Linked DNA regions of Struthio camelus. The protein of the gene in region 1 interacts with the protein of each later gene in a biochemical or structural test. Links are inferred from orthologs where the notes say so. Each region holds a gene or a part of one and is shown in the gene's direction. Other genes may lie near its edges.

Region 1 (7,878 bases):
CTAAGGTGGGCGATAACAGCCTCTGAGGAAGCAGGGAAGGGAAAAAACAACATGCTTGGGCACTTCTGGACCTCAGGCAAAAGTACTGGGCTTGGTGAGGGGTGTTTGCTGGTACTTGTTCAATTGGTGGAGTTTTTTGTCCTTGATTAGAGTTACTCTGCTAGCGTAAGAGTGATATCATGAAGCTCTCTTAGCTCTCAATAGAAAGTGAGCAAGAAAACCTGAATTCTGCCTTTTGGTCCTGGCAGTTCTTTGTCTGGAGGTAACAAACTGCAAACATGCCCTGGGCCTTCTCTGTAGGCTGTTCCAGTGCGGCCACCTGGCAACGCTCTCCTCAGATGCTTCAGCCCAATGGTTGAGTTTGTTTGCAGTCTGGTGTTTTGTTTCTATGAGAAACGAGGACCTCTGCACCCTTGAGTGTTGGGGTTGGTCTTGGAGAACCGGTCCTCCATCCAGGCTATCCATTTTCTCACGAGTAGGTTGGACGCTCCAGAGCCAGGTCCTTAATGATGAAATGAAGGACTGTAGTGACCTCTGTGCCCTGCTGCCATCCTCAGATTATGGCTAGAAAGGCGCCACAGCTCCGTCACTAGTTGTGGGTCACTTTTCCGTTCCGTGTCCAGCTGAGACCAAAGATCTCAATCCACCTCTGGTGGGCTAGCCCGGTGTGGGCTGCCCTCCCTGAGAGAGTGGGCAGTTCCTCTGAAGTGTCCAGGTAAGAGCTCAAATGGGCGCTTGAAGCAGATTTTAATACTCTATAAAGAGAACAGAAAGCAAAGCACTGAGCCGGCTGGAGGAACTGGGCAGGGGACAGGCTGATAACCCGTCCCCAAACCTCCCCACGTCAGCAGTGCCGTAAGTCAGCCTGGTCTCGGACTCAGGATAGCTTCATCCTGTTTTTAGGTTAGAAAATGAGACAGCTGTGTGTAACTGGGACTGCCTCAACAGTGGTATGGCAATCCGGCACGGGTAGAGAGGCCAAAAGACAGCCAGCATAGCCTGGCCCCGAGGGAAACAAGAGTTGTGACGTGAATCTGTCCTCTCTCCTCCAGGAATGGGGGACCAGCCCCCACGAGTTTCTCGGCGCCTATAAGCTCCAGCACGACATGTCCTGGACTCCCTTTGAGGACATCGACAGGCGAGATGCTGAAATAAACATCCTGGACAAGCTGCTGAGCCAGCAGGCAGCGCTGCCTCCGTGTACAGAGCCCAACTTCCAGGGTCTCACCAAGTGACGTGAGCCGCCGTGACCGTACAGGACCTCTGAGCAGAGCCCCTGCGAGAGGACAGGCCGGCTGTGCCCGAACGCTGCCGAAGGCGGGGCAAGGAGAGAGATCCAGAAATGAAAACGCTGCTGCCGCCGATACTTGCGCTGTACTTTAATGAGACTAATTCCAAAATCAGCCTTACTGGATTTTCTGGTAATCGAGTAATTTCTTTCTTTGACTCGTGCCAAGCTCTAGCGAGAGGCAGATATCAGATGGAGTCAGTCCAAGAGGGCTTGGGGCAAAAAGCAAAATCACTTGACGCAGATGTGATAGCGCTATGAAATACGTCCTGCCTGTCCAGCCACGGTGTACGACTCTGCGTCTTGCGCTAGGTAATCATTTCAGGGCTGGGTTTCGGCCCTGATGAAAAAGCACATATTTAGGAAGCCCTCTGGCCGGGGAAGAGCAGTTAAAGCCCCATGCAGAAGGGTGTGTTGTGAGCTGAGCCTATGGGTCTCTCCCAACAGCGTTCAAGAGCCTGTGACTTCCATATGAGGTGCCCTGGAGCTCTCCTGGCTGGGAAGAGCATCCTCAAAAGGACCACGCAAGCTTCAGGCCCTTGGCCTGGCTGCTGAGGGTTGGAGCAGGCTGTGCGCTCTTTGAAGGACGGGTTTCCATTGGCTTCAGCGGCTGAGCTGCCAGGGAGTGACGGGGAACGTGCCGGGCCCTGCACTCTTGTTTTATGTTGAGTGTGGCTGTGGCAGAGCACTGGAAAAAATGAAATAAATCTTATCTTGATCTCACATGTACTGCCGTGACGGGCCCGGTGTCCTGTTTGCATGGCTGACGTCCCTTCTCCTGCTGTACCAGGGAGGCTCGCTGGTGTCTCTCTGTCTTGCGCCGGGTGCTGGGGAGATGCAAAGATCAGCGCTCTTGAGAAGATGCCCTCCATCCATCCAGGCATGTAGATGCCGTGGGGGTGCAGGGCTCCTTGGGGGTCTCTCTTGCTCCGGGTCTTGCCAGCAGGAGAGCAGCTCTCCCTCCAGTTTAGTTTCCCTTCAGCAGGGGACAGCCTCTCCTTCGGCTTCCAGCCTGCATGCGCTGTGGCAGGCTTTTCTTTTCTTGCCTTGTGCTTTCTCTTCCGGGTGCAAGTGCAGTCCCCCCCTCTCTGAGCTTGCCTTTGAGCTTTGCAGTTTTGCCCTCTGGCTGTTGCAAGATCAGCAAATCCTGGCTGAGGAGCTGCAAATCGCCTCCCGAACACCCGGTTTTACCGGCCGTGGCTGCCGGCAGCGCAGCTCCTCCGGCCTTCCCAGGTGAGGCAGTCATATTCACTGCAGCCTCCGCAGCCTCCACTACCTGTAACCCTGCGTTACCTAAAGGCAGATTTTTAGCTGGCAGATTTTTAGCTTTTCTGCCCCAGCGAGAGGCATGCGCCTACTCGTTCGGGATCGCTCTCTTCTGGCCCTCGCACCCCTGGCATGCCCTGGGAGTCAGGACATGCAGCCTGCTCAGCTCTCCTGGTGCCGCCTCGATGCTGGAGATGATAAAGACCATCTGTCCTGGAGCAAGTCTCATTCCTGATTTCTCGATGGGGGGCCGACTCCTATTTCATCCCACAGCCGTGTGTGCTGGGAGCCATCCTGGCTGCTTGGATCCGACCCACCAGAAGACGTCCCGGTCCTGTGGAGGGATGGGAGGTTTGAGGCTGAGCTCCCCGACAGCCCGAGCGTTTTCTTTCCTAGTTTTTTCCCCTTCCAGCTCTGCCGGATGCAGCAGCTCAGCCCCATCCTTCTCCGGTTGAGTCTTTGGTTGGCAGAAACCTGGTCCTCGGAGTTGATGCGGGACTTTTCGAGGAGGTTTTCCCAGCGCACCCCTCCCTCACTTAGAGCACTGAGCAGATAAAAAGCAACGTATTATTATTATAAGAAAGATCAGGGTATAATTAATTCCTTATCAAGTGGCAAGTGCCTAATTGGATGGGGCTTTTTCCCCCCCCTTGTTGCATAGCCCCAGGCATTATTTTACTGCATGTTATTAAATCTCAACTTGGAAGGTAGAAAGTTAATTACTGCATGGGCTTTTCCACAGTGCTAATTACAGCAGCAGCAGAGATCTCCATGTGTGCTGATTTACGCTCCTCTGGGAAGAGGTATTCCTGCCCCAGTTTTATTTCTGTGACAGCGATCGTTTTTCATCATTAAAATCCGTACGGTGACGTACACGTACGAGGGGATTGGGGTGATGCCCTTCGTAGCTGCCGAGCCTGTGATTTTACAGGCTGGCTTTTGGCCGTCTCGGCGGGCGGCCGCTTTCATCTAATCAAAAGCAAAGAGCTGGAAGGACGTCAGAAGTACCGAAAGATAAGTCAAGAGATGCTTTTACGCAGCCCGTCCTGGGGGAAAAGGGCGAGCAGGGGGCCGCTGGCAGAAAAGTGGGACGTGCCGATCTCGAGCTTCCTGCAGCGCTCGCAGCCGAGGGCCGGTTTTTGTCCCAGCGTCGCCCAGCGCCTGAACCAAACAGCGCGTGAAAACGGAGAAGCCGGCCCTGCCGAAACCACGGGAAGAGCTCCGGGGAGGATTTCCCTAGGCGTTTCCAGGCTCGCGATCTCATCCGCTCGGCTCGACCTCTGGCAAGCCGTTTCCTCGCCGCCTCTTTGGGTCGAAGGGGTAGGAAGCATCAAAAATCAGCCGGGAGGAGCGGGCGGGATACCGGTGCCAAAGGGAAGAGGCCTGAGCTGCCGGCACGCTAGGGGTTGGCCCTGTCTTGCTCCTACGCGTGCCCCCCCGCCTTTGATTTGGGCGAACGCGTGCCGCCTTCCTCGCTCCGAGGAGCAAACCCGCGGGTAAGGAGCGAACGGGGCGGCAGGCGTTGGTGACTCACGTCGGAAAACCTCGCCGAAGGTGGGCTGGGGATGTGGGTTTTTGTTTGGTTTTTTGGCACTTCTGCGAGCAAAGAAACTATCGGGCTGCGTTTCAACTTCGAAAAGGCCCTTTTCAGCCCGCCTTGTCGTCGCTGCGGGATCTGAACGAGAACGGCCCGGCGCCTACGTTTGCTGGCTCTTAGGGATGCCGCGAGCCTTGTTGCCTTCTCCTGGTCCTGAGCGGGGGGGTTTATTATTTATTCGATGGTAATAAACGGTGCTGAGAGCGCGGGAAACGTCCGTCTGATGTGATAAAACCGGTTCAGCTCTTGTCTGCAGCCTTCGTTGGATTGCACGTTTTGCAAAAGCACAGAAGCGGGGCTGGGCGCCGCAGGCTGAACCCGCCCCACGGCAGTGGTTTTCAGCCTCGCCAGATGGTTTTCGGCCGCCCCCCACCCCCGTTAGGGATTTTGCGCCGCCAGCTTCCTCCCGCTCCTTCCACGTTGCCTACTCGAGCCGCGGTGCGAGACCCGGCTTTCGGGCCGGTTTAAACGCTTTCGGGCGTTTAATTCATCTAGACAAGTTTCCTCTTTCAGCCAAAACGGCCAGGTTGCGAGTCCCGCCACCGGGCCGCGTGCACGGCGCTGCAGGCCCGGGGCCGGGGTCCTATCGCCACCAAGACCAAGCTCCGGGCCGCTCCGCTCGGCCCCGGTGCTCGGCGCTGCAGGCGGCGGCGCGCGCGCGCGCGCCCGCGGCGGGGCGGGGCGGGGCGGGGGGGCGGGGCGCCACCTCCCCCTCCGCCGGCTCGGCGGCGCCCCGCCTCCCCGCCCCGCCCCGCCCGGTGCGTGATGACGTCAGCGGCGGCGTGCCCCTGTGCCTGAACGGAGGAGACCCCGCAGCGAGCTGCCAACGCCCGGCGGAGACTCTGAGGTGAGAGAGAGCGCGCGGCGGGCCGGGCGCTGCCGCTACCGCGACACCCCCCCCCCCCCCCGGCGGACCGCCGACCCCCCCCCCGACCTCTTCCTCACCCCCCCCCCAAATCCTTTCCTCGTCCGTGCGGGCAGCACCCGCTGCCGGGCTGCGGGCCGGGCCCGGCCGTGCGGGGAACCGCCCTGCCGCCGCCCGCGGGCGGTGCGGGGGGCTCCCGGGCCGCCTCGTCTCCCCTCCCCCCCTCCCCTCAGGGCAGCGGTGGGGGGGGAGGGGCGGCCGTTGGCAACGGTCGGGCGCGAGCGCCTTTGGGGGGGGGGGAGGGGCGGCGGCGCGGAGCCGCGCGGGGTTGGGGGGGGAGGTGAAGGGAGCGCTTGTGGATAGGGGGGAACCCTCCCCGGTAAAAATAAATAAACAACGAATAAAAGCGAAGGTTGGTCCGCGCTTGTGGGGTGCAGAGGGTCGGCCCTGCCGGGAGCGAGCAGCGCTGAAGCGGTTCCCGAGATGCGGCTCGGCTGTGCCTAACGCTGGAGGTAGAGCGCAAAAAGTGAGCTGCGGCCCGGGGAGGAGTTGGGAGGCGCTCCCTGGCTTTTTGTCTCCCTGGGTGCTGGGTCATCGGTTTGCCTGCCGGCCATCCTGGGCTTGTCGTTGTAGCCGTGCCGACCGGTGTCGCTGTTTTGGCCTGGGGTGGGAAGCCAGGGTGACGGTGAGGGTCGCTGCGAGGGCGCACCCCTTCCTCCGAGTTATCAGCTCCTTGCCTGTAAACTCCTGCAACAAGTCACCTTTTCCCTCGCTGCGCTTAAAAGCGTCCTATCGTGGCTTGTTAGTAATCTCCCTCATAAGTAGGCAGGCAACCATGGGAGGACGCTAGTGTAGTCAGGTAGCGCGGAGGTAAATAACCAGCGTTGTGAAACGGGTGCTTCGTGAAGGATTGCAGAATGGCCAGAAATCGCGTTGCCTTGTCTGTGTGGCTACTGCAACCAGTAGAGCCAGAGCAGCTTTGCCCTGCTCTCTTGACAAAAGCATGGTGAAGACAAGGCCTTAATGAGGAGGCCATGTTAGATGACAACTGTGTAGGCAAAAGTAGTTCAGTCTGGCCATCTGTGGCTGTCTTTGTCTCAGGTTCATCTGCGAATGTTTCCTCGCTCTAGAAAAGGAGGTGTTAACTGTCTGTATTCCAAGTGTTAAATTGCAGTGGCCCACACGCCCTTTTCTAGAGGGGAATTAAAAACCTGGATCAAGCTTCTCCTATTGCTAATTGGAATAACTCGGCAAAGTACTTAAAGCTTGTCTCTTTCAGTTAGTAAAAGACTCTTATGTAAAAATAACTTTAGGTAGAAGGCTTTTGTATTCGGACAGCTACGTGTGGAAAGTGTGGTGTTCTGCTTTATAAAGTGCTCTTTTTTGTTAGCTTACAGTTATGGGAATGTATAGGCAAATGCATATTTGAAAGAAATCTTATGGGTATATGTAAGGCTTGAATCAATATATTGGTAACTGTAGAAACGATTCTGTGTGTTCAAACTGTTCAATTATTATATGCTTTAGTAATAATGAGGCAGAGCATTTTTAAGTCTTGGCAAGAAATAATAACTACCACTGTGCAAGATAAAACATGTTCACGGTTTGCTAGCTTGTTCTGGACAGAAATTTTAATTGTTAGATTTATGTACTTTGAACTTGGTTATTCATGATCTGTGACTGATGCTTTTAGTTAGCGCGTTATACGTCCTGCTTTGGTGGTGTTTGTTGGCCTGAAAATGATGGCTGATTTGGGGAAGTTTAGTGTATTTGCAGTGTTAATATAGAAGTGTTCTGTAAATCCTACCGTGTCGGAGTACCCAAAAGGGGAACTGTAGATCTACTAAAAGAACAACGGTAAATGGAAATGGAGTACATCTGAAGCTCCTAGGGATTTCCCTGATGAGTGTGCAACTGTGATTTTCTTAACTTTCCTGTAAAACATGTGCAAGGTCGCTGTTGAATGCAGCACTAAGTAGACCTGCAGTCCTAGTATAAAAGTTCCTTTTGGTTGAAACGCAGCTGTAGTACTAAAATAAATCTCAAAGGCTTGTGAGCATAGACAAATAGACATTTAGTTAAAGCTTTTTCAACAGCTGTCTGTTGCACCAGAAATTTCAAAGTTCATTGAAATTATTGGTATAGTTGAGTCGCAATGCTCCTTCTGGGAACTCATACTGAAACATGCATCACTGCAGTTTAGATATGTGTGTAACCCGTTTTGCTCTAGAATGTGAGTGTTCACAGCTTTTAAAAAATATCTGAACTTCTGCATTTTAGCCCCCTCTTTCCTCTGCCTGCCTCTTGTGGTCAGACAAACTTTCACTGTGTCGTTAAGCTAGATCTTACGGTTTTTCAGTGTCCCTAGCTTCTGCAGTAGCAGGCTTTGTGAAGAAATTGCAAGGGGATGTTGTTATCCTCACTTTTGAGGCTTAATTCCCCCTGGGGAAAGTAGAATACTTCTTTTTGTACAAGATTAGGGTGCTGCCAAATTAAATGGGTGTGAAATTGATTTTTAGTACGCCAGGTAGCAAGAAACCCTTCTTACCCACTTAGCGTACTGCAGGCTTCTAGCTTGGCTCCTGTCACCTCTCTATGTTAAACACATGACAAAAAAAAATTTAAGTATTTAATATATGACAAATAACTTCTTGACAAGGTAAGTTTTTATGCTGAGGCTTTAAAGAAATTTAAAGTAGGTAGACTTCAGAAAGTTGTCCTCGTTTAACGAGGTGGACATCAAGCTTCCTTTAAGCTCTGTTGGAAGCTCATACGTAACATTAGCTAAGGACATCCATCAGAAAAGATTGCTGCTGGAATTGGTATATGAGACATTTTTGCAGAGTATTTCAGAGGGCTAAA
Region 2 (7,388 bases), on another chromosome or scaffold:
CTCAGCGAGGGCTGCAGACTGCAGATCGCCTACCCAACGCGCCCATTCGTTTCGTATTTCAAAGGCCTTTGTAGTTCCCCTGGGAGAAAATACAAGGCGCTTTAAAGAAAAATTAGCTAGACATGTTGAAGACTGACAAGTGCCCTAACTTTAAAAACACTAAAGTGCAGAGAAGTGACCTGCCTGGCTCCCGCAACCCTCTGCTGGAAAGGGCTCGCCTTCTCTCTGAATTACAGATCTCCAAGAGATTTTTCTTCTCTAAGCCGTGGCAGAAATTGCCTCACTCATCTCTCAAATCTAGCATGAGGCATGACTAATGTCTGTGACATGCCCTGAAATACTGGGAGGAAAGGTGCTATAGAAATGCAAAGCAGCTTGCAGGGACAGAAACACAGTCTGTCTCTCTCGCACTCTTCCTTCTCGGCTTTGTTTTTCCACACCTCTTTGTTGTGGTCCCCGCTTATTTTGTAAACAGAGTCTGGTACTGCTTGGCAATGGCATCACCAGCTTCTCCAAATAAATAAATAAAGCGCAGAAGAAATCTCCGAACGCAACGGATGATTTTCCTCAAATATTTCACTCCAATATTTCATTTCACTCCATGAAAAATCACTGAAAGAAGCAGGAGATGAAGGAAAGGAAGGAAAGATATGGAGCTGCCTGGCATGAGCCACTTGGGAAAGCATCACGAGGCCAGCTTACATGAAGGAAACCAAACTTGGCGAGCTAGCCAGCAACACAGCAACTCCCTTCTGCCTCCGCCAGGGGTAGACGTATCTTTTTTCATTACATTACCCATCAAAAAAGCCCTCTAAACCCAAGCCAGGTAAACTCCCCTTCTTCAGTTTCCCCAATCTCATTCCTCAGCGGAAAAAGAGTTTGTGAAAAAACCAGGCATACGTACCAAGCTGTGGAGCGCTCAAAAAGAGCCTCGCGCTAGGTGGAAAAAATTTCTTACTCCTGATTATTAATAAACACGCATCTGTTTTCTGAAGCCAAAACTGAAGGTTGAGCTCGGTCAGGGATTGACGCTGGGCCGCGCTCCTGCCTCTCATCCTCGGGGTTCGGGAAAGCTCTGGCTACGGCGGAAGCGAAGGGGGTGAGGGACCTTGGGATCCTGCCTGCAAAGGGCAGACGAGCCCTCCAGACACACGGCAGCAACCTCGGACCGGGGCCCAAGCGATTCACATCAGCTCCGTCCCGCCTGGTGAAGTCGACACAAGAGCTCTGACCTTTTCTGCTCGTTCAGGTCAAAGCATTTCCTGGCATCATCGAGAGCCGTTAAAATTTCCAGAAAATTAGCAAGACGACGGACTGAGCGCATGAGAAACAAAGAGGACGTTTTACATGGGAGGACGTTCTGCCTTTCTCTATTTTTTTTCTTTTTTAAGCAAAGATGTTGAGGCAAAATAAAATAAAATAAAATAAAGGCAGTGAGCTGCAAAGCACAAGCCACAAGCTTGGTGGGAGGCAGCGAGAGGGGAGACGCAGCTGGACTCTTCCGCGGAGAGTCAAGCCCTTGCTTTGATCTCCGGTTTTCTCAGGCCGCGCTCCTGCGCGCGGCCCGCCATGTGGTTTTGCTTAGACAGACATAAGGGAAAAAGCTCTGCCTGGGAAGGGCGACAAAGGAGCCCGACCAAAAATCACCAAGCGACAGCCCGTCAAAACGAGGAAGAACTTCCAAAACCGCTAAAGAGGCGACAGCATCTAATACGGAGGGAAGGGCCCCGGTGCGCCGGGACGCTCGGGGTCTCTTCCTCCCAAGGGGTTTCCGAGTCGCGCGAAGCGGCAACGCGGACGCAGGGATCGCCCAGCGTGCTGCTAAAACGGCGATCTGCCGGCGTCCCGAGCTGCGTCGGCAGCCGGCCACGCGGGCACGGTCCTGCCTCGCCTCGATTAGCCCGTCAGGTTTGACGGGACCGGGCACAAGCACCAGCCCAATAAATCACGGGATTTTGCCTCGTCGTCACCTGACCGTATGCATTTGCAACATCGGCTTTTCTTAGTCCACGTGGCTGCGCTCTGCCCCGCGCTGGGAAGCGCCGCTCGACGCCTCTGCGATGTGCTGGCTCCTCACGCAGGGAGCCCTGAACCCACCCGCGGCGGTGGCTAAAACTTTGCGTGTTGGCATCTGGCACGGCACATCCTGCCGTGAAGCAGTTCGCGTGTCTCAGAGCTGTTGTTCCAGGCTCTGCACATCGATAACTATCGTCGGTTACTCGTGAGCGGCTTTGGAAATTTTCTTCACAACTCTAGCAACTAACATTTCAAAAATATTTTACATTGAAGTTCAAGAGTCAAAACTGCTGCATGCTTACAGCTCAATTTGCCCTACTCGCCCAATACTTTGGCAAACAGCAATATCATTTATGCAAATGCTCTGGATAACTGGTATCACCAGAATCGTCTTATATTTACAGCGCTTCACAGGTGCAAGAGAAAAACCAAAAGCATCAAATCCAGCCGGCAGAATATTCGCAGCGACCCCTCTCTTACCTTTTTAAGTATTTCGGAGAGCACCGGTGGGCCACTGCATGTTTGCTTTCGCAATGCAAATGCAGCCTGCATAACCCTGCGGTTAATGCAAAGCACATACGGCGGCTCTCCGGAGAACTGCCAGGTGCGCGGCACTGCGTGTTACCCCAACGCAACCGCGTGTCTCTCGCAGCACAGCCCTGCCTCCGGGCCCCTGCCTCCAAAACCAAGGCAGCTGCTTCTGGAAACGCTAACCATTTAACCAAGCGTCTGCAAAGCAGCCCAACATTACAGAGAGCCTGGGGTCGGCTACCGCAGCAGCAGCACAGGTCTCGCCTCTGCTCAGCACCGCTGGCTCCTGCATCTGGCTCGTCTGGAGCAAAGAGATGGTGGCGAACAATTCAGATTTTTACACGAGGTTTAAGTGAACCTCTTCTGCTGGAACAGCACCGTTTTGCCTTAGGATGAGATGTCATACGCTTCAGGCTTCACCGGGCGGGAAGGCTTCGTGTTGCGAACGGGCTGTGCAAGTCGTCAACCCGCAGGCAAGCGGGCCCTGCGCCGGGGCAGGCAGCTGCCGAAGGAGAACCTCTCCCCGTCTCGCATGAGGGCAGCTCTGGTCCCTCCGTGCACCCCCCGCCGCCAAGCCTCATTGCGCCCCCCCCATCCCCTGCAACCCTCACCACCCAGCCCCACTGCAGCCAGCGGGCTCCCTTGCAACCCTCCACCATGCCATGGCACTGCAGCCCCCCTGCTTCCAGGCACCTACGGGCTGCAGCCACCCTGGCTCCCATGCGCTGCTCCCAGGTGCTGGACCCTGCCACGGCCCCCTTGCTCCTGTGTACCCTGCGGCCCCCCCTGCCACCTCACTGCAGCCATGCGGCCCTGCTGCAGCCCCCCTGCGTGGTGCAATCCCTGTCACCCCATTGCAGTCTCCAGCAGCCCCCTGCCCTGCGGGCTCCCCAGCCCCGCTGCACCCTCCTGCCCCCCATGCTCCCCAGCCCCACTGCACCCTCCTGCCCCGCTGCAGCCCCTGCCCCGCGCGCTCCCCAGCCCCGCTGCAGCCCCCGCCCTGCGCGCTCCCCAGCCCCGCTGCAGCCCCCAACCCCACTGCACCCTCCTGCCCCGCTGCAGCCCCTGCCCTGTGCACTCCCCAGCCCCGCTGCAGCCCCCAAACCCACTGCACCCTCCTGCCCCGCTGCAGCCCCCGCCCTGTGCACTCCCCAGCCCCGCTGCAGCCCCCTGCCCCGCTGCAGCCCCCTGCCCTGCACACTCCCCTGCCCCGCTGCAGCCCCTGCCCCGCACACTCCCAGCCCCGCTGCAGCCTCCTGCCCCGCGTGCTCCCCTCATCCCCATCCCCGTTGCAGTCCCCCACTCCCGTGCACCTCCCGTCCCCGTTGCAGCCCCCCAGTCCCGTGCACCCCCGGTGCCCGTTGCACCCCCCGTCCCCGTTGCACTCCCCAGTCCCGTGCACCCCCGGTGCCCGTTGCACCCCCCGTCCCCGTTGCACTCCCCAGTCCCGTGCACCCCCGGTGCCCGTTGCACCTCCCGTCCCCGTTGCACTCCCCAGTCCCGTGCACCCCCGGTGCCCGTTGCACCCCCCGTCCCCGTTGCACTCCCCAGTCCCGTGCACCCCCGGTGCCCGTTGCACCTCCCGTCCCCGTTGCACTCCCCAGTCCCGTGCACCCCCGGTGCCCGTTGCACCCCCCGTCCCCGTTGCAGCCCCCCAGTCCCGTGCACCCCCCCGTCCCCGTTGCACCCCCCACTCCCGTGCACCCCCGGCCTCGCGCGCCCTTCCCGCGCAACCGCTCCGCGCGCGCTCGCCCCCCCCCCCCCGGCTCCCTCGCCCACTCGCCCGCCCTCCCCGGCGGCGGGGCGGAGCCGGCGGGCGGCGGCAATGCGCATGGGCCCCGGTGCGCGCCGGAGCCTTTCTCTGCGGCGCGGAGCGTGTGGAGGGGGGCGTGTGCTGGACGCGGTTCCCTCTCACCGAGCAGCAGCGGCGGCGGGGCTCTTCCTCGCGGCTCCTTCCCCGCCGTGTCCTCACCGGCGGCGGCCATGTTAGCGGCGGCGGGACGCGGCTGGTAGGCGGCGGTTGGGGCGCCCGGGCTCGGTCCCTGCTGTGGTGGAGCGAGGTGAGTTGGGGGGGGGGGCGTTGAGGGGGGAGAGGAGGGCTGTGGGGGGAGCGGTGGTGGTGGGGGGGGGGGGGCCGCGCGTATCGCGATAGCGCCGCGTCTGTCGCGAAAGCGGCGCTGAGGGGAGGGAGGGAGGGAGTGGGGGCGGGGGCGGGGAGGGGGCGCGCGGGAGCTTTTGTCAGCGCTTCCAGCCGTTACCGCCAACGGACGCGGCTGGTCACGCGCGGCTGCTGCCTCAGGGGCTCGCTCCCTCCCCGTGGCGGAGAAATAAATGCATAAATAAACTCGTGGCTGTTTCTCGTTTTTTTTTCCTTTTTTTTTTTAATTTTGTTTTTTAAATTCCTCCTCCCCCCCCCCCCCACCCTCTCAATTCTCTGTTATAATCACGTTTAGTCACTGTCCCGTGTCGCTGAGCCGGCAGCAGGAAGGGTGAGGGATGTCACAAGGTGGAGGGAGCTGTGAGGTGGAATAGTTTGATAACGCCCCCTGAAGATCACATGTTAAGAGAGGAGGGAATAATTGGGATTTCAGTCTGTGTATTCCATTATAAGTGCTTTTCAGATGCTGGAAAAACAGCTTTGTGCTCTTTGGCGGGCGTGCAGCTGCCGTCTAGCTTTGTACTTGGCTCTTTTTCCATTGTGTAAAGTGTCCTTTGTGGTATTTTTGATGGGGTCCTTTTAATGCCTTGTTAGACCTTTTCAGGTGTAGTGAAAATCCACAGACTTGCTTGGATCAGTAAGGGTGCTCTGCAGAAAACATCTGTGGGCTACCAAAGCATATGAAATGGCAGCGTACTAATGTTTTAATGTCAGTAGACATTTCATTGTTGAGTGTGTGTGTGTGCGTGTGCCTGGAGATGATTTTATCTGGAAAACCTTCTTGGCTAGTTTTTACACCCAATTGAAATGGGCAAGTGAGAAAAGGATAGAAAAATAGCATCTGGTAAGGATAGATCCCCAGCGCTTTTGGACTCTGAGTCATGCTGAACAGTCACTTCAACTGGAGGAAAAAGGTAATTTGGCTTTTGAAACATTACTTACAAGCAAATACCCATATGCCTTATGGCAATCTTGCAGTGCCATCTCTTTCTCCTTTGAGAAGGTGTCTCATGTTGCAGTCTGTTGCTCCAAACTGAATTCTGATGGCTTTTGAATTCTAAGAAGGTGATGGGAACACGTAACTTTTGTTACACCACTACGCTTTCCACATGAGATACTGCCGAAAACAGCACTTTGGACAGAGACTCAGACAGCTTTTGCTGGGGATGGAAGTCCAGTTTGTTGTACTGGCTGATATGGTCATCGGTAAGAATGCGATTTTGAGGAACAGGTGAGAAGACGAGGAGGTAAAGGCTTGAAATAAGGTATTTCACCTCAAGTAAGAGCTATAACCCTAACATGTATTACCCCAAAGTGACCACTCTTCCTTGATACGGAGCAGGATGATTAAACTTCCAAGACTGTTATAAGAATACCTGCTTGAAGAGTTTGAGAGTTGAGTAGGGAATCAATACCTTTTTCACCGAATAGGGACAAAAGTCCTAACATGTTTGTTTAGTACCGTGCCATTTCTTTCCCACTGCACAGATTTCTCCTCATTCCAGTTTTGCAAAATTATGTTAGCCTCAGGTGAGCAACTTATTTTGATTGGCAAGTAAAATATTTTCTTCAAAATAAAGAGCAAGTAAGTAGTTCTTGTGCTTGGGCTGTTTTGCTTTCATGAAAGTTATCGAAGGCTGCTTTGTGCTGTGCCACAGTGTGTACCCTTGTATATCTGAGGGTTTTGTAGTGTCTTAACATAACGGGAGTCATCGGGAAGAATCAAAACTTTGTTCCTTTGAGGATATATATAGGGATTGAGAAATAAAAGGAAAAAAGTAAGGTGAGAGTCTGGCAATAAGTGTTTTGTAAAACCTATTATTTGGGGAAACAACACAACTGAAAGTTTTACATGATATAAATACTGTATATAGCATACAGAAATACTAGCTAATTGCCAGAAGCAAATTGTTGTTCAGTATTTCAGCTTGCAGTCTTAGTCTGGGATTTGCGGGTTTAAAATAAAAATGTCAAATTTTGAAGAAGCCAAGAGGATCAGAGACAGGTCAGTAGAACTGCCATTAGGGAGTTGTGTTACTTTCTGGCTCTTATGTATGTTTTTAGCTGGATATGGCAATTTTACGTGCTGCTTGTTGATGGATTAAGAAATATCAGTCTCTCGCTTCTTAACTCTCTGTTTTTCTGTAACATAAAGTGAGAGGAATACAATGGTGTCCTTGACTATAAGGGAAAGGATTGTAGTGGTTACTTCTTAGCTGGGGAGAGCATCCCTAAGGGAATGGAAGAAATCTAACGAGTAAAAGGGGGAACAGTACTGCTTTAGCAATTTTCCCCTGGGCTTTGGTTTCTTTTGAAACTTTCTTTTGAACTTCTGAAAAGGAAATGTTGTTTTGCTATTTGAATGTGGTGTTTTGTTTCAAGTGTCAGACCGTATTAGGGGGGATGAGTCCAGTGAACTTCCCCCGTTTCCAAACAAACACGTCAAACGTTTATACAAACATTCAGTGTGTTTTTCAGGAGCCGAATACACACATTTCCAGAAAAAAGTGAGGTTTTTAGTATTTTATTACGGCTAGAAGAGTGTGTATACAAGAGAAAAGTTAGAATAGATTCCCTTGGCCTTTGCTTGCTTCTCTCCCCAAGTAAGAGGAAGATATAGCCTCCTCATGAACTGGGGAATTATTTTCATTGGCACTTCCTGTCAAAGTATTCTTATCTGTGT
Region 3 (7,612 bases), on another chromosome or scaffold:
TTCTGACAGATCTTTTGCTTCTGAAAGTTCACAATTTCTTTAATGTTGGATAATACCAATTGAAAATCACAGTTTGAATTACTTATGTAAAACAAGCTGCCTAATATCTTAGTCCAGCGAAAGCAAACAGTGATTTCCTTGTGACCAATGAGAAAAATATTACTTTGGCAAAATATGAAGAGCGGCTGTTTTAGAAATTAGTAGAAGTGATGATGCGAGAATGGAAACCCATGTTAGTGGCAAGCTATAGTAGAGAAACTGAGGCAGGAGGGGCTTGAATTACAGGGGGCTTAGCACTGTCAGTACGAAACAAATAGCTGACATCAGACCAGTTTAAAAGTGGCTGCTAATGGGGGAAACTTCAGGGCACTAATCAGTTTGGAGGGTGCCTGGCTTACTAAGCATCTGTAACGTGCATTGAGATCCACTGATCGGCTTCTAGACTGAGCCTTAGTAATATTTATTCTTGTTGATGTAAAATTTGAGAGAAATCACAGAATTTCTCAGTGAATGTTTTTTGCTGTGGCAAATAGCAATGATTTGCTGGTTTTAAATTCATAGCAGTTGTGTTATAAAAATACAGTAGACAGGTTCTTCTCTAAAAGCTGTAATGTCAGTCATTAGCCAGGGGTCACTGGCAGATGCAGAGGAGCCATAATCCAACCAATTCTCTGTTAAGAAATTCTGGCAGTTTTGGAGACAGAAAGGAGGGGACTGCACGCTAGTTTGAGTTGTTAGCAAGACAACATAGATACAAGAGTCAGACACAAGCGTATACGTTATTGATGAGTGTAAGGATTGAATTAAATAAAGGAATTAAAGCAATAAAAGAAGGGGGAGGGGTACAGGGGGAAAAAGGCACGTTAAGAGTTAAGGGTTCTATCAGAGACTCTGAATCACAAGTGAATGTGCATAATTTAAAAAAAAATACTCTTTTAGTTTGTTCTAAAAAGACATGCCTGGGGAGAGAATGGAATGGGAGGTGGATAAGAGTTGTGAAAAGGCTTTGGGGCAGGACCTGAATGGGTTTGGGGGTACAAAGCTGAATCGGAAAGAAGTAAGGTCATTTTGTAGGAAATGAAAGTAAAGCTGGAGGAGGTGTGAAGAAAGTTTAGAAACCTGCCACAGTTTCTTGAGAAGTACATAACTGTGGAGATTAATTACCAGAACTTTTAGTGCTGAAAGGGATTAATAGGGAGTTGAGTCTAAGCAGGGAGAATGACAAAGCAGCATGCGAAGAGAAGTGGGGACGATGGCCTTGTCTGCAGTAGGAAGGAGACCAGAACAGTTGCCACTGGCCACAGCAGGGTCACTGCAGAGTACTACTCCTGGAATAATGCAGTGGAAATATTGGAGGTCTATGGGGGCATGTGTTCTGCAATCACTCACTCTGCATTAATTCTGTGGAGCTTAACAGAGATGATGACCAGCAAATGTGGGCTGAAAGCAGCAGAAGCTGGAAAGGCTGTTTTGCACTGTTTGTCCCTGGACGTGTGGGCAGGTACCAGGCCGTAATGGTAGCCGCCTACTTTTCCCAGACTTCTTACGAAAAGGATCTGCCTGACATGCTTTCTTTTCTTTCTGAAGGAAAAATCAGATGTTGCTTCAAGCCTGGGTTGAAGGAGGAGGTCAGGTCAGAGCTGCAGGGCAGGTGGATGTTTGGGTAAGTCATCTGGAAGATTAAATATGTCATAGGAATTTTGGGGGAGTAGGAGTTTCGAGGGCAAGTATGCTGCTTTCTCAGCTGTGCTTGCTACTACAGCTCTTGGTACCTGGGCGTTAGAGTAACTACAGAAGAGGTGGTGCAGGTCACTAATGACAGGACATGGTAATGCTGGCAGTGACTCTGGGTTCTGCTGCTGTAGTTCACATATAGTCCTTTTGGCAATACCGTCAAGACACCGAGCTGCAAGGATTCGTGGAATTGGAAGCACGTGGATTATTCTAAGTTAGAGGGAGAACGGTTAATTTGTCATTGGCTATGCTAATACAAAAACAAGCTCCTTCCAGCACATTAAGGCAAGAGGAAGGCCGAGCATAGCATAGCTGAGGACGGCAAAGCACAGCCCTCTGGTGCTCTTGGACGCCCCTGCCAGAGGCAGCAGCTGCTCCACAAGCACGGCGGGAAGCCCCCATGCTGCAGTAAACAAGTTTTAACCAACAAATCACAGAATGGCTAAGGTTGGAAGGGACCTCTGGAGATCTTCTAGTCCAACCTCCCTGCTAAGCACGGTCCTCCAGAGCATATTTCCCAGGATCACAGACGAGTTTTGAATAACTCCAGGGAAGGAGACTCCACTACCTCTCTGGGCAACCTGTTCCAATGCTCTGTCACCCTCACAGGAAACACGTTTTTTCTCAGGTTCACATGGAACTTCCTGTGGTTCAGTTTCTGCCCATTGCCTCTTGTCCTGTTGCTGGGCACCACAGAGAAGAGACTGGCCTCATCCTCTCGACACTCCCCCTTCACATACTTGTACACGTTGATCAGATCCCCTCTCAGTCTTCTCTTCTCCAGGCTACACAGGCCCAGCTCTCGCAGCCTTTCTTCCGAGGAGAGATGCTCCAGTCCCCTCATCCTCTTTGGAGCCCTCCGCTGGACTCTCTGCAGTAGGGCCATGTCTCTCTTGGGCTGGGGAGCCCAGAACTGGACACAGGACTCCAGGTGAGGCCTCGCCAGGGCTGAGGAGAGGGGCAGGATCACCTCCCTCCACCTGCTGCCAACACTCTGCCTAAGGCACCCCAGCAGACCATTGGCCTTGGCCACAAGGGCACATTGCTGCCTCATGCTTCACTTGTTGTCCACCAGCACTCCCAGGTCCTTCTCTGCAGAGCTGCTTTCCAACAGGTCCACCCCCAGCCTGTCCTGCTGCCTGGGGTTATTCCTGCCTAGGTGCAGGAGCCTGCCCTTGCCTGTGTTGACCTTCAGGAGGTTCCTCTCCGCCCAACTCTCCAGCCTGTCCAGGTCCCTCGGAATGGCAGCACAGTCTTCTGGTGTGTCAGCCACTCCCCCCCAGTTTAGGATCATCAGCAAACTTGCTGAGGGTGCACTCTGTCCCTTCCTCCAGGTCAGTGATGAATATGTTGAACAAGACTGGAGCCAGGACTGACCCCTGGGGGACACCGCTCGCTACAGGCCTCCAACTAGACTCTGCGCCACTGACCACAACCCTCTGAGCTCGGCCATCCAGCCAGTTCTCAAGCCACCTCACTGTCCACTCATCCAACCCGAACTTCCTGATTTTACCTAGGAGGATGTGATGGGAGACAGTGTCCAAAGCCTTGCTGAAGTCCACGCAGACAACATCCACTGCTCTGCCCTCATCTCCCCAGCCGGTCATCCCATCACAGAAGGCTATCCGACTGGTCAAGCATGATTTCCCTTTGGTGAATCTGTGCCGACTACTCCTGATCACCTTCTTGTCCTCCATACGCTTAGTGAGGACCTCCAGGAGGAGCTGTTCCATCACCTTGCCCGGGATGGAGGGGAGGCTGACAGGCCTGGAGTTTCCTGGCTCCTCCTTCTGGCCCTTTTTGAAGACTGCGGTGACACTGGCTTTCTTCCAGTCCTCAGGCAGCTCTCCTGATTGCCATGACCTTTCCAAGAGGATGGAGAGTGGCCTAGCGATAACATCCGCCGGCTCCCTCAGCACTCGTGGATGTATCCCATCGGGGCCCATGGATTTGTGGGTGTCAAGTTTGGACAAAAGATCTCTAACCTGATCCTCCTCCACCAAGGGAGAGTCTGCCTTTCTGCAGCCTTCCTCTCTTGTCCCCAGAGTCTGGAATTCCTCAGCACTGGCCTTAGCAGTGAAGACTGAGGCAAAGGCGGCATTCAATAACTCTGCCTTCTCTATATCCTTTGTTATCAGGGCACCCGCCCCATTCACCAGTGGGCCCACATTTTCCCTAGGCTTCCTTTTGCTATTGATGTACTTGAAGAAGCCCTTCTTGTTGTCCTTGTCCTCCCTTGCCAGATTTAATTCCAACTGGGCCTTAGCCTTCCTCGTCGCATCCCTGCACACTCTGACAACGTCCCTGTATTCCTCCCAAGTGGCCTGTCCCCTTTGCCACATTCGGTACGCTTCCTTCTTCTGTTGGAGTTTGGCCAGGAGTTCCTTGCTCAGCCACGCAGGTCTCCTGCCCGCTTTGCTGGACTTCTTCCTCAGAGGGATGCACCGGTCTTGAGCTTGGAGGAGGTGATGCTTGAGCATCAAATGAAGTATTGGGGAAATAATGCCAAATTTCAAAGAAAAAGCCAGAAGATAGAAGAGAGGTGTGAGTTTAAAAGACGTCCTTGTCCTTTATTTTGTCTTGAGGGTGTTTGCTTTTGTCAGCTGTGGGGATGTGCAGAGACTGCCTCTGATCGCCTCACTCCTGGCGGTGACGCTACTGAAGCAGCGTTAATTTGCTCTATAGGGAACCGCGTCCAGGGCCTGTAGAGCCGCCGCTGCCGGAGGTAGCGCCGCTGCCTCCGGCGCCATCTTGGGCCGCTTGCCCCAGACTACGCGTCCCGTGAGGCCCCGCGCGCCGAAGCGCCGCCGCGCGGCCTGCCGGGAGTTGGAGTCGGCGTGCGGCGGCGCCCCGCCCCTGCCCGCCCTCGCGGGCTGTGGCCGCGCGTGGCGGTTCCGCTTCCCCCTCCGGCTCCTGCCGCCGCCGCCTCGGTGGGTCCCGCCGCCGCCATTGCAGGAGGCGCCGTGTGGCGGCCGCGCCCCGTCCGCCCCGCCGCCCCCTCTCGCCCCCGCCGGGCCGTCTGCAGAGGCGGCAGGCGCTGCCGCCATCCCGGTGAGTGCCGCGGCGGCGGCCCGCTCCCACCTGCCGCCGCGTCGCCGCGCCTTCCGCCCTTTGTGGCCTCCTGCGCGGCCGCGGGCCTCTGGCGGGCCCGGGCGCGCCGTCTCGGCCGGGCCGCCGCCCGCCCTGCCCGCCGGCCGCCGTGGGGGGTGCGCGGGTCGCGGCGGGGCCAGCTCGGCCGGGCCGTGGCACCGGGCTGCGCCGCGGGAAGCCGCGGTGGCGCCGCGGGCGCCGGCCTGCGCCGAGCGCGCTGCCCCGGGGGGCTGGCCGCGCCCGCGGCGGCGATGCGCTGGCGGGAGGCGCAGCGGGGGCGCTGCCCGGGGGAAACGGGGCGGCGAGCTGGCGAGGAGAGAGGCCGCCTGGTCGTTTGGTGATCCGGAGGAGCTGTGGTGCGCTCGCCGCCGTTGCCGCGCGGCGGTGGCTGGCCGGAAAGCGGTGCCTGATGTTGCTGTAATGCTGATTTGCCCTCTGTGGGCCAGTACTGCGGGAACTCAGCAGGCGCTTTCTGAAGCCCAAGGGTCACCTCCATCCTCTGTCCCCTGCCGCCCCCCTCCCGACACGTCCCTTTCTGCCTCAGGGCTGGGCGCGGTGGTGGCACCCCCAGAGCAAAGAGCAGTCTGTCCCGAGGAAAACAGTACACCCTTCACAACAGCCTTCGTTGTTGTCAGATCGCTTAAAGTGGGGGGAAAATTAGCGTCAATGTATCTGTGAAAAACTCTTAAAGAAAAATCTGTACAAGTACGGAAATGTAGTGCAGAGAGCTTTTGGTCACATGCTTTCCTACAGTGAGTGAAGGAATCCGAGTACTGCAGCAGGTTATGAATCTTTCTTTGGAGCTGCTGTGATACCCTTTTTATACTAGACCGTAATGTAACTGCTACTCTTTGTGTGCTCTTCTGTTTGTTTTTTCTCTTTGCTGTGTTTTCTGTTTAGTTTTTGTTAGTGCGTTTTGCCTTCCGTTCTGTCCGTGCTGCCTGCCCGACAACAGTAGATGTCTAATGGTAGGCTGATCAGGGAATTGGGAAAAAAAATTTGGTTTAGCCTGAGCTCAGGGACTGGTGTGTACAAGCAACTGCCGGAAGGTTTGTCTGGGAGCAGACAGTTAATCAGCTAGCTTTCAAAGAGCAATACTGCACTTTGCCTGTAGCCAAAATAAATCCATTTACATGCTGTCTTATGGTAAGTGAAAGCAGGCCAGATATTGCAGCATTTTTATTAATAATCCTCATTATTTTGGAGGTATTGCAATAACTGGGATAGTAAGCACAATGACTGGGATAGTAAGCACAATTTGAGCATGGAATTTTGTGTCTTTTTTGTTTTTTATCTTCTTGCTCCTGCCTTTCTCCATTTTTCTCTTTCTTTATGTCTCTCTCTCTCTCTCTCTCCTCTCTCTCTCTCTCTCTTTTTTTTTTTTTTTAAAGATAGGCTTGCTCTTGGGCTTTTCAGTATGGTGCAGCCTTCACAATGTGAGCCCTGAAGTGGTATGTGGCTAAAAATCAGGGGACTGAGTACTTTGTGGTTCGGTTTCTCCGTTTAGGAGATGGAATTAATTTAATGCACAAAGATACTGTAGAGGCAGACTTACAAATATCCGTACATAACCAAGTGTGCTGTACCAGTTTTATGCCACCATAGGACTAAGAAATTAGTCATTTTATTATTGCAGACTAATAGACTGAAATAGGAGCAGTGTAGAAATGTAAAAATGTAAAGCCTTTGCATGATGAGATTTTGAGGAGAATCTTCAAGATCACAGGAGCACTTCAAAACAACTCGCCAAGTAATGCTTTAGATGAAGGAAAGGCCTATGACGGTGGGGGTATATTTCCATTCTTGGGGTAGAACAAAAATATTTTTGAAAGCATAGTGCAGATTCTCTGTATTGTCTAAGTTGCATGTGGGATTTGACTCTGCTTTATGTAGACATAGTTATTCAAAAAAAATGTTGGGCTAGGAAATGGTCAATAATACAAACGTTTTCAGCTGCTGTCTAGATATTTTGCATGTTTTAGCTGAGGGCAAAGTGTTTCAGTGGATCAGAGGTGCATGTGCTCTGAGTTGTTTTATAGGACGTTGTCAGGATCTCATTCACTGGGATGAAATTTATGCCAGCTTAACCTGAAAGTTTGGCCAATTGGGGGAGTTTTTCTGAGGCACCTGTTACTGTTTCCTGTCTGGAATAGCTGCTGGAGTAGATGGATGGATGCTTTGACCATGTATGGTAGGTCTAATCTGCTTACTTTAAAATGTGTCTTAAAAAAATCATGCACACTTGCATTGTTTAAATTAGCGTTTCAGTTATGTTTGAAAGGAAAAATTATCAAGCAACTTCATTTTCTAAATAACTTTAGGATAAATGTTAAAGGCTTTGATGCTGTTAATTTCGTTCTTTTGATATCAAATGTGAAAAGCAGCAGGAATCTGAATATAGGTCTCTGTTTTACTAGTAACAGCTACCTCCATTTCAGAATTCTCTTATCTGTCTTTTTTTTCCCCCTCCACCTTTCACATGTCTGTGCGGTAGCCACAGTTGGGAAAATAGTTAATTTGTTTTGGAAACAAGTCCTAGTTATAGAGACAGTGTTCTAAATGACTGGGGCCAGTGATAACTTGAGCAAAGCTCTGGTGACAGAGAGTTGAGCTCTAGCAGAAAGCTTTGAGAGTGAGTTGTCTTAAGAAAACATTGAGGAGGAAAAGAAGGGGCTAGGGGAGGCATAGTGGTGGGAAGAACAAGAAGACGGAGAGGTCTTGAGCAGCTGGGCATGATGCAGTCAAGCCAAGCTGCCTACTTAGCTCAGCTGTCTGAAAATGCAGCTTC

The links. The genes of interacting proteins can lie anywhere in the genome.
Region 2: of the proteins of CDC42 (region 1) and ARHGAP32, one has a biochemical effect on the other in vitro, tested with the Homo sapiens proteins (3 studies listed by BioGRID). The link is inferred for Struthio camelus from reciprocal best matches to the Homo sapiens genes CDC42 and ARHGAP32.
Region 3: the proteins of CDC42 (region 1) and PAK2 form a complex in vitro, tested with the Homo sapiens proteins (4 studies listed by BioGRID, with this or other methods). The link is inferred for Struthio camelus from reciprocal best matches to the Homo sapiens genes CDC42 and PAK2.

The regions. Positions count from the first base shown.
Region 1 is NC_090962.1:12,587,272-12,595,149, reverse strand, and holds the start of CDC42 (cell division control protein 42 homolog), read left to right. Parts: upstream 1-4,877; 5' UTR 4,878-4,998; exon of another isoform or gene 4,999-5,038; intron 5,039-5,316; exon of another isoform or gene 5,317-5,542; intron 5,543-7,878. Other genes in the region: C21H1orf50 (uncharacterized protein C1orf50 homolog), read left to right, coding at 1-5, 1,053-1,235. UniProt on the Homo sapiens protein: Plasma membrane-associated small GTPase which cycles between an active GTP-bound and an inactive GDP-bound state. In active state binds to a variety of effector proteins to regulate cellular responses. Involved in epithelial cell polarization processes.
Region 2 is NC_090963.1:7,274,937-7,282,324, forward strand, and holds the start of ARHGAP32 (rho GTPase-activating protein 32), read left to right. Parts: upstream 1-4,380; 5' UTR 4,381-4,607; intron 4,608-7,388. UniProt on the Homo sapiens protein: GTPase-activating protein (GAP) promoting GTP hydrolysis on RHOA, CDC42 and RAC1 small GTPases. May be involved in the differentiation of neuronal cells during the formation of neurite extensions.
Region 3 is NC_090950.1:2,562,718-2,570,329, forward strand, and holds the start of PAK2 (serine/threonine-protein kinase PAK 2), read left to right. Parts: upstream 1-4,604; 5' UTR 4,605-4,664; intron 4,665-6,868; exon of another isoform or gene 6,869-7,015; intron 7,016-7,612. UniProt on the Homo sapiens protein: Serine/threonine protein kinase that plays a role in a variety of different signaling pathways including cytoskeleton regulation, cell motility, cell cycle progression, apoptosis or proliferation.